Linked DNA regions of Danio rerio. The protein of the gene in region 2 interacts with the protein of the main gene of each other region in a pairwise test. Links are inferred from orthologs where the notes say so. Each region holds a gene or a part of one and is shown on either strand. Other genes may lie near its edges.

Region 1 (8,601 bases), on a different chromosome or scaffold from region 2:
TGAAAAACAGGCCACTTGGAACAAAAACATTAACTCCGGCTATACACATGGGATCATAAATATCCACGCCCCGGGCTGAGATTATACACAACAGTTACATATTTTTTCCTTATTTTTATTAATATAACTAAGTTGTTATGTATGTGGGACTTTTATTTTGAAAGAGTTAAGGAGCAGTTTTGTTAAGCAGGAAGCCATGGATTACAATGGAGCATTCACAGCTTGTCAGAATGCAAAATGCAGGATATACAGATTAATGCCACCCTGAAGAGGCATGAAAGAGGTTTAAAATGTCTTTTGTTAGTTTAACGTGTATTTTGTGAAATTTGCCATACATGTATGTTTGTAATGAGCCAACAGATGCACGTTTAAAATAAAGCAACAGACACATGCACATTGTATTTAAGCTCAGCACATATAAACAGTTTTAATATATATATATATATATATATATATATATATATATATATATATATATATATATATACAGTTGAAGTCGGAATTATTAGCTCCTCTGTATATTTTTCCCAAATGTTTGCTTAACAGAGAGAAGATTTATTCAACACATTTCTAAACATAATAGTTTTAATAATTCATTTCTAATAACTGATTTAATTTATCTTATAAGGTTTTATTTGGGTTAATTAGGTTAACTAGGCAGGTTAGAGTAATTAGGCAAGTTATTGTATAATGATGGTTTGTTCTATAGATTATATTAAAAAAAAAAAAAAAGCTTTAAAGGACTAATAATATTGACCTGAAATGGTTATTTAAAAAACTAAAAACAGCTTTCATTCTAGCTGAAATAAGGCAAATAACACTTTCTCCAGAAGAAAAATTAGATTAGACATGTTGTGAAAATTTTCTTGCTTTGGGAAATATTTTTAAAAAAATAATAAAATCCAAGGGGGGCTAATAATTCTGACTATCTGTATACATTGGATGTTTTCATTACATTAGACTGAAAAAAAACACTATCAAAAGCCAAAAAGTCCACAATCTTAAAATTGTAAGGTTTAAGAAAACAAATCAGAGTTTTGCCTGCAGTGTCTCGCCTTAAAGCTACATTTCCTATGTTTGTTTTTTTGTTTCTGTTTTGCGGAATCACACATTGTTGGTCAGTATTATCTTAAAATACGGTGCTGTTCATAACATACAGGAACACCTGGTTGAAAACCACTCAGGTATAGACTATGTTAAGCTTATAATAACAATCAAGACTTGTTCAAGGGAAAAACATCTATAAACTGTCCATTACTTTACAGTTATGGGTGTGAAAATAACTTGACAAAATAAAGCTTCCTCCATATCACACAGACTGTTTATTCACTGTTTTATTGAGTTTGTCTTCTATTGGTTCAATCTGGATGTATTGTCTAACCCTGTTTACTCGAGAGTTAATATGATGAAATATACACACACTCTAAAAAAGGCGACACAGTGGTTAGCACTATAGCCTCACAGCAAGAAGGTCTCTGGTTCGAGTCCCGGCTGGGTCAGTTGGCATATCTGTGTGTACTTTGCATGTTCTTCCCTCGTTGGCACGAGTTACCTAGGGGTGCTCCAGTTTCCTCCCACTTTCCAAAGACATGTGCTGTAGGTGAACTGAACAGACTAAATTGTCGGTAGTGTATGTGTGTGAATGAGTATGTATGGATGTTTCCCAGTACTGGGTTGCAGCTGCAAGGGCATGCACTGTGTTAAACATATGCTGGATAAGTTGGCAGTTCATTCCGCTGTGGTGACCCCTGCCGAATAAAGGTACTAAGCAAAATGAAAATGAACGAATACACAAGAACGCTAGGTTATTTTAACCAAAACTGGGAAAATACGGACAAACCTTTACTTTGGGTTTTATTTGGTCCTATAATAACACAGTGGTTCATTTTGCCCATATTTTATCCAAAATTGAGTTGAAATAATCCAGCATTTTTTGTGTAATTTAAAAAATTGTTCTAATTTGATCATGGTAATATTATCAAGGTGCATTCAAAATATTATAAAATGGTCATCAAAATTTTCATCAATGTATTTAAAAACAATACACATAAGACATGAAATAAACTATCCAGTGTCAGCACCATTTTGAAATAATGTAGCGTTTTCACTGTGCAGAATACTATAGTATGCATGATAGAATTCTGCCCTATTCTCTCATAACAGGACAAAAATAAAGTTATTTATTTATAACAATATTAGTTATTATTACAACTACAAAGTTATTTCAAAAATGCTGTAAAGCAAAAGTAAAAATACTTGCATATTTGTTCATTGCCATTTAGATGATTAAATAATTGTATGATATTAATTATAACGATCTGTGAATTACAGACGCAAAGATATGTTGTGATATTAATAGTTACTGTTCTTAGTGTAAAATGTTTATTTGTCTTTAACACTTTTTTTTTCACATGATTTGCATAAAACATACTGTATGTGTTACAATTCAAAGTGTTTGTCAAACGTTCTTCAAGAAGTTTTCATTTTTGAGACTAGATTTGTTGTTCATACCAGGTCTACTGAACAGTGTATCATCAGTGCTTATGCATTTAGAAAAAAAACAACAGAACACTTTTTTTTTTGTACAATGATTTATACACACACTTGTTTTTCAAACATCCATTGACATATTTCAGTTTTTTTTTTTTTTTGGTTTGAAAACACCTAAAAAGTCTCTTTAAATAAAGCTGAAATAATTAACAAATCTATAGCATAAATCAATATAAAAAAGGTTGAGAAACCCAACATGCGAAGTAGTGCATCACGATCCCTTCATCTGAGATTTAACAGAAGGCATACAGCTCGTATGGTGACACAGGAGGAAAAAAATCAAGAATAAAAGAGAATATAATTATGTGCTATACTTGTTGAACAGTTTGTCCTCTTAGATGTTTTTTTTAAATTGTGCAAATAAAGCAGTTTATTCTAAAAATGATGTGACTGCAGAATACTGTATGCCAAAAGATCTTTGCTGCTCTTCCGGCTCACACATATACAGTACAGTTACCGTCAGGCAGTATCTTTATTTTACAGTGAGTGATCAATGAGGTTTTTTTTACACCCAGAAATTCTTCGGATCAGTTCAATTATTGTTCTCCTTTCAGTTTTATCTTGGGACCCAAAAAAACGGGTCTAATAGTTGATTTAATGAAAATGATGCTGCGTTTTGATTAATAAGCACTTAATTCTTCTGTAAGATTTTCACAATCTTACACCAGCACCACTGCGGTCTGGTAACAGGCTATTATTTACTACAAGCAAACAAACAGAAAAAACAAATCAATCCTAAATAATAAAAAACACACACACTCTTACCTATTTACATCAACATGTGTTACTTATTATTTGACATATTCGCCTAAAGATAATAAAAATACAAAGGGAAAAAAAGTCACGGAGCCAAATACAAAACCTACGCTTAGCTTTTAAAGGAAAAGTAGGAGGTTTAAAATGGGGTGAAATATCAGTGTAGTGTTTATACTAGTGCTTTACTTTGCACTATAGTGTCAAATGGAGAAAACGCAACGGTTTTTATGTATTTCCTACCAGAGTAGTGATGATGGGGACAGAGCTAAATAATCGGGTGCATTTGGGTGACGTCTGTTCCTGTCGAAGGTCGAGTCGGCCTGTTTAGCAGCCGAAGGTCTCCTGGGAGGCGTAAACCATGTAGAGGAAGCCGTCTTCGTCACGCTCTTGTTCGTAGATCTCAGAAATGGGGGTGGACACGCTGACCATGCTGTGCTGATTGACAAGAAGGAAAAAGGCCTGGGTGGGGTTGAGCTGCAGTCGACGCCTGCGAGAGATTTCAGAGTTGATTATAATGACTAAAACATGCACATTCAAGGCAAATGCAAGGCTGTTCCGCTTAATCCACAGTTGCTCTTTAGTTTCTTAAGCACTTGCATGTCAATGTTAAAAGTTACAAAAGTCCACAGGGCGCAAAAATATTTCCAAATACCATCATAAAAGTATCATATTTTAAAAAATGTAAAAAAAAAATTTTCACCAATATCAGCCATGATGAGATCTACAATATTAGCCAATAAAGCCATGATAAAACTACATTAGCACCCTTTTTAAGATTGTTTATATATTGCCACTATTGTTGAAAAAACTACACTAAAAAATATTTTTACTGCTTGTTTAAACCACTTATTTGAGATAAGCAGACTCAACACAATTCTTTGGTTTTTTTGACAACCTAATTGTTTTATATACAATCCACTTAAATGTGTAACAACAATCAAGTTAACAATCGAATTGTGTTGGGACAACATGAAGCAATTTTTGTTGAACCCTGCATTTTGTACAGTGTAAATATATTATTTTACATACATTCCAGTAGGGCTGGCGGTTCATTCCGCTGTGGTGACCCAAGATTAATAAAGGGACTAAGCCGAAGAGAAAATGAATAAATAAAAGTAGGTCTGCACAATAAACTTCAACACATTGTAAACACAACTGTTTTAAAAGTAATCTCTAATAACTAATTTCTTTTGTCTCTGCCATGATGACAGTACATAATATTTTAGTAGATATTTTGCAAGGTAGTAGTATTCAGCTTAAAGTACAATTTAAAGGCTTAACTTGGTAAATTTGGTTAATTATGCAAACATTGGTTTGTTCTGTAGCCAATTAAAAAAATATATATTTCTTTAGGTGGCTAATTACACTGACCTTAGTTTTTACTTTTTTCATTCCAGTCAGATAATAAGACTTTATTACTAATACTTTATAATTCAGAAACCTTGCCAACAAAATGGAAACCTGTTAACAAAAGCACTTAAATGGCACTGGAATGAAATACTGCCATTTTAATGGGTTTCAGTGGGGTAATTTGGGCCTTGAAGGTCCTAAGAGGAATTATTTTTTGCACCACGTGTAAAATAGATTTATGAATGGAAATGGGGTAATAATAATACACTTCAATACAAATACAGCTTTTTGCCTAAATGTATGCTGCTTGCATTAATACAAGAAAACCTGGCCTAAAAATATAATGATGGACAAGGTTTTTTTTTTTTTAAACTCATTTCTGTTTTTTGAGAGCATCAAATTAGATAATTTCACTGAAACATATGCAGTAAGATAACTTCAAAATTCCATGTTAAACTACACATAAGAAAATTACCTTAGCATTTTGTTAGAATCCTAATTTTTACAGTGAAGTGTCAGAAACTTCACCTTTGAACTCAAAATTTAATCATGATTTCAAGCCTGATCTATAAATAATATGGCAGCCATGACTCATAGGCAAGGATTATGAAGTATGATCGGCAGCATGTGTCTCTAGTCTGATCATCTGACCGAGTCTGTGTTCAAATACCTGGAAGGCAACACTGATCTTACAAGAGGAAAGATAACTTGCTTTCACATTCAAGCATCACAAAAGAAATAGGAAAATAGCCCGCCACAAAGAATGTGGATGTTGCGCAAACAGTTTTCAAGTTCAAGCAGTTGAAAAGAGTTTTGCTAAAGTCTCCTGTTGATGACGGGGTCAGAAGACACTTTTAACTGGAACCGCATAGCATTCTCCTCCCCCATCAGACAAGTAAACAAACTGGATACAGCTAAAGTAAATGCTATTTACTGCTTACAGTGACTTGCACAAAAATATTTCTGTTTATCTCCATTTCTTCATGACTTTCAGCTGATATCAATAAGTCTCAACGTCCTGTTTTTTTGTGCATTTAAATTTTCCAAAGTCAAAATTAGGCACTGAATTTATGGATGTTTACCTGATAATCTTTACCAGCTCACTCATGTTAACATGGTCAGGGACAAGGAACTTGGTCTTGTCCAAGACTGGAAGTTGCTTTTCCCCCTTATACCTCTCAATGATCACCTGGAAGAAGAAAAAGTGTTGAAATGGGTCTAGTAGCATTTTTTTTAGACAACATATCCTTTGAAATATATTTATACAAACCAAATATACAACACTGTAATATAGATTTCAAATGTTCATACATTAGAATAGGTTTTATCAGATTATACAATAGTGACTATCAGACACAATCTAAAATACTAGTCAGTGCAATAGTTTATATTTGAAAAATCTTCAGGCATATTTAAACAAGAATAATTTGATCATGACATTAAAATGTTCTTTTTAATCATTTTAGTGCAGTTTTAGTATGATCACCTATTCTTTTATACATTTTATTACAATAAAGCCAGCTGCTGCCATTGCATTTTTACATTATATGCTAAATGATTATAGATCAATATTTTCTAATCATTTAGCATATAATGTCAAAATGTTAAAGTAGAACATTAAAGTAGAAAGTTACTATGCTTTTTATGTACAGTGCTCAGCATATACGAGTACACCCCCCACAAATGTCTGATTTCAATTAATATTTTCTATAGGATACTGTACAATATTTTATTTGTGCATATACATTAGTTTATTCAGTACTGAAGCCATAGGAGCCTTAGGAACTTTTACAAAAAATATATACAATTTTGTTGAAATGTTGTAGTTTGTAATTTTTTTTTGCAATATTTTGCATTAATTTAAATATATTATCTTTTCATTTCTAAATATGTTCTGTGACTGAAATATTATTTTTAATAAAAATATCTGTTTAATTATCGGTTTTGATCAAATGCACCAATATATATTATCCATATGCACCGAGAAATGGGGAAAAAAATTTCGCCTCCAAAAATTTTCAAACTGGGGAGAGAACTGTATATAAAAATCACTTATACTGAATTTGATGCAGATGACAGAATGGAATGTCTTGTCTTTGAAATATATTTCCTAATATATTTCACTAAAGATAAAGATTACAATAAAAAATTAAGATTATTTCCTAATATATTTTGATATATTCATATAATGGTTTAGAGCTGTGGATACATAGAACAATGTATTTTAATATTACTTATTTTTATATTTCCAAGGTCTAGAAATCACACTTTAAAATGATTGATGCTTTGTTAAATAAATGCAGTATTTCTAACTGCTTTAGCTTCATCTTTTCTTTTTCAATAATTCTAAGTCACCCCAAGGCCCTCATAGAAGTTGAAGCCCATTGTTTTAGAGTAATAAATTTCAGGATCTTAAAAGAAATCCGGAGCTGACAGGTAAGTGACATCTTGAAAGCAATAAGGCTAAAGCAATAAGTCTAAATTCATTTATGACACTTGCATAAAACAAAACTAGTTTCTCACCGGAATTTTATTAGGATGCTGCTCTCGTATCTGCTGCACTTCCTTGCAACGATCAGCTGAAAAGACAAAAAACAAACAGAAATTTGGTACACTTCTGAATAATATACATTTTACAGTCCAAATTCAAAATACACAGTAAGTATATTTTCAAGACTCATTCCTGAAAACACTGTAATCACTGCATTAGCATTTGCTGAATTTGCTTATGTCAAACCTGTTTAGCAGAAACGCTCAATAAACATTCCTAAAAACTTGAGGAAAAATAATTGCGGATGTGTTGTTTGACATGCCCTACTCTACAAACCTATTCCACCATAATGTACAGTATAACAGACAAACAAACATTAATTTCTGTTAAAAGGTTTAATATCTTTTGTTATCACTCTGAAAGCTCAACAATGGTTAATCAACGCATTTGCATTATTTAAATAAACTACACGTTTTAATCTTGTAATTAAAATTTACAAGATTTGCATTTTTAGAGACATTGTCTGTTTTTATTCCTTTTCTATCATTTATTTCTCATCTGCTGATTATTTTATTAATTTATGTTAATATATTACATAGGCTATTTTCTATACATTTCTAAAATGCTTTGGCATTCGAGTTTGCTTTGAACTTGGAGTGAAAGAAGCAGATTTTACCTGTCAGAGGGTGCAAATGGCTCCTGAATAGTATAAAAGTAAGAGAAATAGTGGATTTTTTTCAACAGTCTTTTTACTTTAAGCCATTGAAAAGAAACTGTATAACAATGTCATAATAAATAAAATTGTAAAAATTAACTTATGTTTTGTTTGTCGAAAATCAATATCTATTTAAGTGATGATGTGGGTAACTTGTGTTTCATTCTGGCTACCACTGCAAGTATATTTCAAAGTAAAACTAAAAAAAATCCAGCTTGCTTATCAGGGTAAGCTTCCTAACTTGTGTGTCATTTTTACTGATGTCATGTCTGGGTCATCCGTGTCAATTGTATAATCCCAAAGGCTGGACAAATATAAGACTGTATGCAGATCATATTGACCCGGACTCTTACAGATGTGTTTGAAACAGCAAATCTATGTTGCACTTGTTATGTTTAGGAAGATTATGCAAGGGTTTTATGCTCCTCCCTCCCCACACCCTGTCCACAGTCTGGACTATGAGAAAGAGCTCATATTACAGCATCATATCAACAGCACGTGTACAGTCCATCCTTTCCTTCAATGTTATTGTCAAACAATAAATATTCTAAATATATAAATGCATCATTTACACCAAATGTAACAGAAAAACACTACTGTCAAAAAAAAGAAATGTTGATCTCACATTTTCACAAAGCTGGTAAACAACACATTTATCTAGCTACATATCTGTAACTATATGTCATTCATCTATGTTTCTAAGTAAAAAGTTAAATATAAGGTTATATACGTATTTACA
Region 2 (8,875 bases):
AATAACATTAAATTAATTCCAATTTAAACGTTTCTATGTTTTATAATTTATAGTTATGGGTTTGAGGACAAATAAAATATAATAAATATAATGATGACATCTCTTTTGAATTTAAAATAAATTGTTGTGATTTAGAGCATTTGTTTTTGCAGAAAGTTAAAAAGGTACCATGTTTTCAGGCATGTTCATATTCATTTTTAGACAGCATAAACATTTTTTTTCCAATTTTAAATCATTAGTTCTCAGATATGAAAAGTTTGCAAAAACCTTAAATAACCTCTGAAATTTTCATTTTCAGCATTTTCATCAGGGTCCTGTGTAGGTTTAGTAATTTCACTTTTATGACAAAGAATAAGTTCTTTTTATGGTTTTCAAAGTGAAATAACTTCACATAAACAAAGTAGGCTAAGAATAATGTTCATTTTCCATTTAAATTTCTGACAGCACTTAAAGGTTTTACACAATAACTAATAAAAAAAATCATGATTAACAGCAAAACTGCAGAAAAACTACATTACCCATGATGCTGTGCTTTATTTACTTCTATAAAGCACCAGGAATAACACTCTCAGAATAAATATTTGTATAAATGTGCAAAATTGACAATATGTTGTTTCTATAGAAGCCAGCAACAGCTTTAAATCAAGAGTTTTTTTTTTCAATTTGATTTCATCAATTGCAATGCTTCATCGGGTTGTAGTTTTTATTCTTATTAAAGCAATTAAATGGATATTTCCCCTCGCATGGTTTTTAACCTTTAAGAGTTTCCTTTTTCTGTTGAATAAAAAAAAAAAGATATTTTGCTGGGACCCCAACATTCTTCAAATATCTTATTTTGTTTATTCAACAGAAAAAAATTAATAAACTCATATAGGTTTTTATCCAGTGAAGGGTGAAGAAATTATGACATTTTTTGGGGAGGTGACCTATCCCTTTAAGTAACTTTTGATATTCAGGTATTTCTTTTATTTTGGTTCATTGCTTATATAGGGTTCTTAATAAATGTCTATGACGAAAATGAATGTGAAACTTCCAAAATTGGTTCATCTAATTCACCTCTACCAGGTCTTTGGATTGTGGAATAAACTAGACAGTGGAGGAAACCCCTGCCAACATGGCGAGAACATGCAAACTCCACACAGACATGCCAACTTGCCCAGCCTGGACTTGAACCAGAGACCTTCTTGCTGTAAAGCGACAGTGCTAACCACTGAGCCATCGTTCTACCTGACCACACACTAGTAATGCAAGAAATACAGTAAATAGTTGAATGTTAAGATTTATCAGTGTTAATAATACTGCATCATCCCAATCAAAAAAATAACACATAAATACTTACTGCTAAAGGCCTCTGGATATTGCTTTGCAACCTTGCCTTTTAACGTCCTGAGGAAACACAAAATATATTAGACGTTATGCAGCCTTTTTTTCTGAGCAAAAAAGTATGTCTATACATTTTACCATATTTTACAAAAATGTAATCTTTTCATGCACATTTAGAACAATAATTAAGTCATGCCATATTAAAAGACTCTGTTTAGGGCTCACAGTGGAGCAAAAAATACTAATTAATTGTCATTTTAAATCTTTACACTTTGCCTTCTGTTAGCTACCAATTTGTCAGTAATACTCTTTTAAAAAAATCTTAAAATATGAATACAATTTAGTATGATCACTTATTACTTGTTTATTTAACACTTTAACTGCCCCACTAAGAAAAATGTTTTGGATTGCATTTCTTAACTCCTAATGTCACTAGTAATGCACTCAATGCAAAACACATCCCATCATTTCTAAAGTATCAGCATCTACCAAATGGTAGATATGTTGGTTAATGGTAAAAGTACCAGAACTAATAAATATACTTTGAAAAATCGGAAAATATGAAGTGTAAGACTGATTATTTAAAAATAGATTCAAAATAAAACATTTCTGAATGATTTCTGAAAAATTTGAATACTATTTTTTTTTAAGTATACCATAAAATATTTTAGATTCTCATTTAACATGTTTTCTTGTTTGTTTTTTTGCAATCAAACCAAAATCAAGTGTAGTAGTGTGAACCATTATTTAAAACAGTCATTTCTTGAATGACTTTAACAGTCATTGTTTAAAATCAGTAAATATATGGTCAACCATTTGGATGAGCAGGCAGTTAAATGGTTAATAGGGGAGGGCAGAGCACAAAGTAACGTGGAGTAAAATAGAAAACAAGGTATTTGCGCAGGGTTAACCATGCCATGCTTCCGAAGTTTTCACCACAGTGTCGGTCGGCAAATGTCTTCCTGCCAATTATTGAAAACTTTCAGGGAAATTTTAATGAGAAATACAGGAGAAACCGTTTTTGCAGCATAAAAGTTTTTTTTTTTTTTTTTTAGTTGGTATTTTTTATTTAAAAAAAAAATCTGTGTAAGTATGCAAGTAAAATCTTATATTGCTGTGATTACCTTCTTCTAGGCTGAAAGATGGAACCATTTTGAAAGATGTAAAAAAAAAAACTGTGACTGATAATATATATATATTTTTTTTTTTTTGAGTGTAATGTTCAGAACTTTTTATACAAAATGTTTTATAAAAGAAAATATTTTTTAATAGAAAAAAATTTATTTTATAGCTAATACTGCAAATAAGTGCATTGTATAATAATGTACAATAATGAAATAAATCCAAATGTCTTTATCCAACAGATAAATAAATAAACATATTGTGCTATGTTGAATAAAAATAAACTGAGCAATGTACTGAGGAAATATAGCTACTATTTAAATAAACTGATTTTAAATAAATTGTGTGAGAGCTGACTTTATAAGCATGTGTTACAACTAACCCTCTGTCTGTTACAACTTGCCCCACATGTGGGGTAAATAGTAACATTTTTACTCCCTGCACTTTTGGCAATAATACACAGAAACCATAGGTCTGAAAATCATACAACCATTGCTCATTGGTAGGAGAGGCTTGTGTGTTGTTGGTAAAAATAAATGGTTCAGGGTTCAGACACATTTTTACTACTAAAATTCCATGACTTTTGCATGATTTTTCCAAAACTTTTAAGTAAATTTTTATGACCTTAATGTTTCATGCAATGTCTACATATGCATGGTAAAAGAAAAACAATGCAGGTTCAAATTGATTACAGCATATCGTAAAACAAGCAACAACCTATTAAGTTTTAATTTATATTTACATCTATGTAAAATTGATTCAGATAATGCTTACATCACACTAATATTGTGAGAATGTGACTGGCAAAGGACAGAAAAGCAGTAAATAACCTATATTCAAGTATAAAGATTTCTGTTTTCCATGATTTTTCCAAAACTTTGTGGGTTTTTCTCTTTTTCCCAAACTTTCCCAAGCCTTGAAAAAGGCATGTCAAAATACTACGACTTTTCCAGGTTTTCCTTGACCGTATGAATTCAGATGGTTTGTCTAACTCCATTACTTTGTTCATTATTTGGCCAAAACCAAAAAGTGTTACTTTGTGCCCCGCTCTCCCCTATACACAGGTGAAAACTAGAGTACATTTTCTATTTACACTTAAATAATGTACTGACTTACAATGTAATATTACTCAACTAATTTGTTGAGTTTAATTTGTGAAAAGTTACTTTAATGGCATTTTAAATGACAAAATAGTAAAATATGGTAACACACTCATTGCTAAACATCACTCAATTCAATCTTAATTTGCAAACATAACACCTTATTCTTCTGAAGATGCTGTCCAAGTCTTTCTTCATCTCTATCAAAGTCCTGGTGTGCATCAGAAAGTGTTCATTCATCTGCTGTAAGCGCACATTGGACAAGCCGTTGAAGTTGATCAGCATCTCATTGGTTTTCTCAAAGCGGTCCAGCCTGTAGGACATGCATCAAAACAGGTTTTAAACAGCTTCCTTTTTAGGTACTTTACTAGAATTTAGGTACGTTAAAGTTGGTTTTAAATTCAACTTGTGACATTCTTCCTATATTTTGAGGTGAAGTTGGTTTTATATTCACACATTCAGACTTTCTCTTTAATAATATAATTTCAGAAACTTACTCTTTGCGAATACTAAATAGTGGAAACATATTAGCAGTCAATGAGCATCAGACTAGGTTGTTTATAGTCAAATAAATAGTGGTTATGTTGTTTTGAAGTCATTCTTACACAGGATTTCAGACCCAATGTTTTACCAGTACCATGGTAAACAATATAGGGACCATATCACAAGTGATCACTGAAAGAATGTTCAAATATAAAACCAACTTTACCTCAATTTCCTTATGTTTACCGTGGTAATTTGAATAATCGAAATCAGGGCGAGGCAGTGGTGCAATAGGTAGTGCTGTTGCCTCACAGCAAGAAGGTCTCTGGGTCGCTGGTTCGAACCTCGGCTCAGTTGGCATTTCTGTGTGGAGTTTGTATGTTCTCCCTGCCTTCGTGTGGGTTTCCTCCGGATGCTCCGGTTTCCCCCACAGTCCAAAGACATGCGGTACAGGTGAATAGGGTAGGCTAAATTGTCCGTAGTGTACGAGTGTGTAAATGTGTGTGTGGATGTTTCCCAAAGATGGGTTGTGGCTGGAAGGGCATCCGCTGCGTAAAAACTTGCTGGATAAGTTGGCGGTTCATTCCGCTATGGTGACCCCGGATTAATAAAGGGACTAAGCCGACAAGAAAATGAATTATATGAAATCACAAAGACTATAGAATACATAGAATACAATATGCCTTACAGGGACTTTGGTGTGACTTGAAAACAACATTAGCACTATTTATTTGACTGTGAACAATGTTGCATTTTGATAGTCATTGGCTGCTAATATGATTCCACTGTTAAGAATTTGAAAACGACACTTTTCTGAAGTTATACTGTTAAGGAGAAAGTCTGGATGTGTGAATATAATCCGAATTTTACCTCAATTTCACTAGACAGGGATACTCACATATGTCTCTGGGCTTGAATGATGGCGTTCACATCCTCAGAGTTCACCATACTGAGCATCCTGTTACAGAATATTCCCGAAGCTGTGGGCTCCATTTGAACTTTTTCGAGAGCAAAGCACGAGATTTATTGAGTTATGCTAATAATAAACCGATACAGACGAGTGTAATCGCTTACGTGCTAAAATATTCGCTTTCTGACTAGTTTTCGTCTGACTTTGTTTGTTTCTAAAGCGTCGCAGTCTGATGCAGGAGGTTTTGCATGTATGCAGACTTTTATTGTATTCCTAAAACGATCAAACATTTACTGGACTGAGATGCAGGCAGACATTTTTGTTGTGGTGTTGTCATATGATCGCTGAGAGATCGTGACGCATTTGGGAGGCGGCATCTAGAAGGTTTTCTTAGCGTTGATTGGATGTTCAGAAAGACAGAAAGAGGGGTTTAAAAGGGCTTTAAAATGAAATGTAGATTTATAATGCGCTTTCTGTGATGATAAAGAAGAGAGTATTGCTCATTTATGTTATGGTTGTATTTATACACAGTTGTTTTGGTGTTATCTTTTTTTTTTTTTTGGTAAACGTTATGAATATTGCTTTTCAATTCAAAGAAAAAGATTATTTATTCTTTATATGAGAATACTGTCTACTTTATAATGTGGTGTTTTGTAATTTGCTAATTATATATGGAAATATTTTTATTCATAAATGTACATGTGCAGTGGAAAAACCTAATTTTACTCACTTAAAAATAGAAATAGGACAAGGACAATAAAAGAAACAAAAAATACCAAACAAAAAGAACTGTTATTATTATACTATTATTATCTTAAAGCCTTAAATGCTGTCTTTGAATAATTGTATTTTTTTATTTTTGTTTTATGTTGTATTTATTTTTATGTAAACATAATGTTTTTATTCCCTTTGTATGTTCTGTGTTCTAAAATTGCAATAAAAAAATAAATAAATAAAAAGGGCTTTAAAATATTGTTTTAATTTGTTTTAACATACAATATAAAATAAGAATACAGTATCCCAAAATGACTTCAGTACTATATGCACCACATGAGATGGATATTATGAATATATATATATATATATATATATATATATATATATATATATATATATATATATATATATATATATATATATATATATATATATATATATATTAGGCCTGTATTTTATATTTCGGTAAATATTAGTTTCTATTTATAAATATAAATGTTATTATGAATAGTGGAAGTAATTTATTCAGTTTATTTAAGCATTTTCTAAACCTATTAATATAAATGGCGTTATATGTAAACTGTATTATTACATTTTTAAGAAATACTTTTTTATTAATTGATTTTAATACATTTTAATTATGTAAAAATATACATTTGCATAATTAACTTATTTGTATTAATAGTATATATTGTTTGAAGATTGCTTATTATATTATTCGATTTCAGTTTATTATACACAATGTAAAAATGATATGACAAAAGTCAACAATATTTTGTTACTTTAACTTATTTAAATAAGTTAATAAAGCTGTATGGCATTGATTTCTGAAGTGTATAATGTTTGGCATTACAGAATTATTTCTAAATGGATCTTGTCACTGAACACTACCATTATACATAATGTACAGTTGAAGTCAGAATTATTAGCCCCCTTGATTTATTAGACCCCCCTGTTTATTTTTTCCCCTCAATTTCTGTTTAACAGAGAGAAGATTTGTTCAACACATTTCTAAACATAATAATTTTAATAACTCATTTCTAATAACTGATTTATTTTATCTTTGCCATGATGACAGTAAATAATATTTCACTAGATATTTTTTAATACACTTCTATGCAGCTTACAGTGACATTTAAAGGCTTAACTATGTTAATAATGTTAAGTAGGTTAGGATAATTAGGCAAGTTATTGTATAATGATGGTTTGTTCTGTAGACTATCAAAAATACAAAGTTTAAAAGGGCTAATCATTTTGACCTTAAAATGGTTTGTAAAAAATTAATAACTACTTTTAATCTAGCAGAAATAAAGCAAATAAGACTTTCTCCAGAAGAAAAAATATTATCAGACATACTGAAAAAATGGCCTTGTTCTGTTAAACATCATTTGGGAAATATTTAAAAAGAAAAAAAAAATCAAAGGGGGGCTAATAATTCTGACTTTAACTGCATACACAATTTAACCTTTTATTTTTAGCCAGTTTTTAACTGGTGTGAGTTGAGATGACGACTACAGCTAGTTAATTTGATTTAACTGAAAAGTTAGACAGCAAGATTTATTTCAGAGTGAATTATATGTGTGTGTCTTTGTGTGTGTGTTTTAAAATATTATATAGATAAATTCATATAGATTTAGGTTAATTATTGTTATTTGATATTTTGGACGTTATAAATTCTTAAACAAGATTCAGCGATGCAGAGGTGCAGTAGGTAGTGCTGACGCCTCACAGCAAGAAAGTCGCTGATTCGAGCCTCGGCTGGGTCAGTTGCCGTTTCTGTGTGGAGTTTGCATGTTCCCCCTGCGTTCGCGTGGGTTTCCTCCGGGTGCTCCGGTTTCCACCACAATCCAAAGACGTGCGGTACAGGTGAATTCGGTAGGCTAAATTGTCCATAGTGTATGAGTGTGTGTGAATGAGTGTGTGTGGATGTTTCCCAGAGATGGGTTGCGGCTGAAAGGGCATCCGCTGTGTAAAAACGTGCTGGATAAGTTGGCGGTTCATTCCGCTGTGGCGACCCCGGATTGATGAGGGGACTAGGTCGAAAAGAAAATTAATTCTTAAACAAGATTATTTGACATTTTTGTATTTGTGTATACACAGATTTTCAGCATTATGATCTCAATACACCCGTTGACATCTAGTAGAGTAGAAATTACATTTTATGCAAAACAATTTTAACAAAAATCAAAAAACTAAATCTCAAGCGTATCTTGCTATTTTAATTCTATTTTTAGTATTTATTCAAATTTAAATTAGTTTTTTTAAAGTAACATTCTCAGGGCACTGCATGAGTTACACTCTCAGGGCTGGGTTGCGGCAGCAAGAGTAAAACATATGCCAGAGTAATTGGTGGTTCATTCCGCTGTGGCAAATAAAGAAACAAGGAAAGTGAGTGAGTGACAACCTTTTTTAAAAATCAGTTTAAAAAAATGTAGTCCCCATGAACCAGAAGCTACGATTTAAGCTTTTTTTTGTAATGTGACGTAGTTCCTAGAGAAACGGGATAAAAATGACAAATTACGATTTTTTTTTCTTAATGACATGCACAGATGAATTGTTCACCGCAAAACTAGCAATGTGAGCTGATAAAATCATTTGATAAGTTTTAATTTCACGGGGATTTAAATTTCTTAATGAACACAACCATAATAATATATAAATGTGTTATTTTAGAATGTAAAAATATTCTGAGAGAAATAACTGCAAGTTATAAATTGTTAAAAATAATCCAGTGTTGGGTTGCAGCTGGAAGGGCATTCGCTGCATGAAGCATATGCTGAATAAGTAGGTGGTTTATTCCGCTGTGGCGACCCCAGATTAATAAGGGGACCAAGAAAAGAAACAAAAATGAATGAATAATAATCATTTAACAGTTTCAAAAAAATAAATATCTGCCTTCTTTAGCAACTCAATGTAGTTCGGCGGTTGCCCAGTAAGCGGCAGTAAATACAGATTCAAATCTGATCCTCACTCAGTCAACTTTCATAGAAGAAGCCGATCGCGTAGTCGAGCTCTTTAGAAGAGTTTATCCAAATCTATCACAGTACACAACTTATCCGTATAATTGAAAGGTTTTGCCCTTGAAAACAGGTGAGAAACTCACTTTACAATTTTTATAAAACCGAAAAATTAGCTTATAAGCCCGTTGCGTGCTGTACATGTAGCTGGCTAACGTTAGCATATTCCTTTCTAACGTTCAATACTTATTCTTCCAAAACAT

The links. The genes of interacting proteins can lie anywhere in the genome.
Region 1: the proteins of kxd1 (region 2) and map1lc3a interact in binary tests that used the Homo sapiens proteins (3 or more experiments, as listed by UniProt). The two-hybrid records come from large-scale screens. The link is inferred for Danio rerio from reciprocal best matches to the Homo sapiens genes KXD1 and MAP1LC3A.

What each region holds. Positions count from the first base shown.
Region 1 is NC_133186.1:28,687,958-28,696,558, reverse strand, and holds the end of map1lc3a (microtubule-associated proteins 1A/1B light chain 3A), read right to left. Parts: intron 7,236-8,601; coding exon 7,180-7,235; intron 5,846-7,179; coding exon 5,739-5,845; intron 3,794-5,738; coding exon 3,631-3,793; 3' UTR 2,573-3,630; downstream 1-2,572. UniProt on the Homo sapiens protein: Ubiquitin-like modifier involved in formation of autophagosomal vacuoles (autophagosomes). While LC3s are involved in elongation of the phagophore membrane, the GABARAP/GATE-16 subfamily is essential for a later stage in autophagosome maturation.
Region 2 is NC_133200.1:21,949,599-21,958,473, reverse strand, and holds the start of kxd1 (kxDL motif-containing protein 1), read right to left. Parts: upstream 5,278-8,875; 5' UTR 5,022-5,277; coding exon of another isoform or gene 4,927-5,021; 5' UTR 4,275-4,926; intron 3,859-4,274; coding exon of another isoform or gene 3,831-3,858; coding exon 3,706-3,830; intron 1,387-3,705; coding exon 1,340-1,386; intron 1-1,339.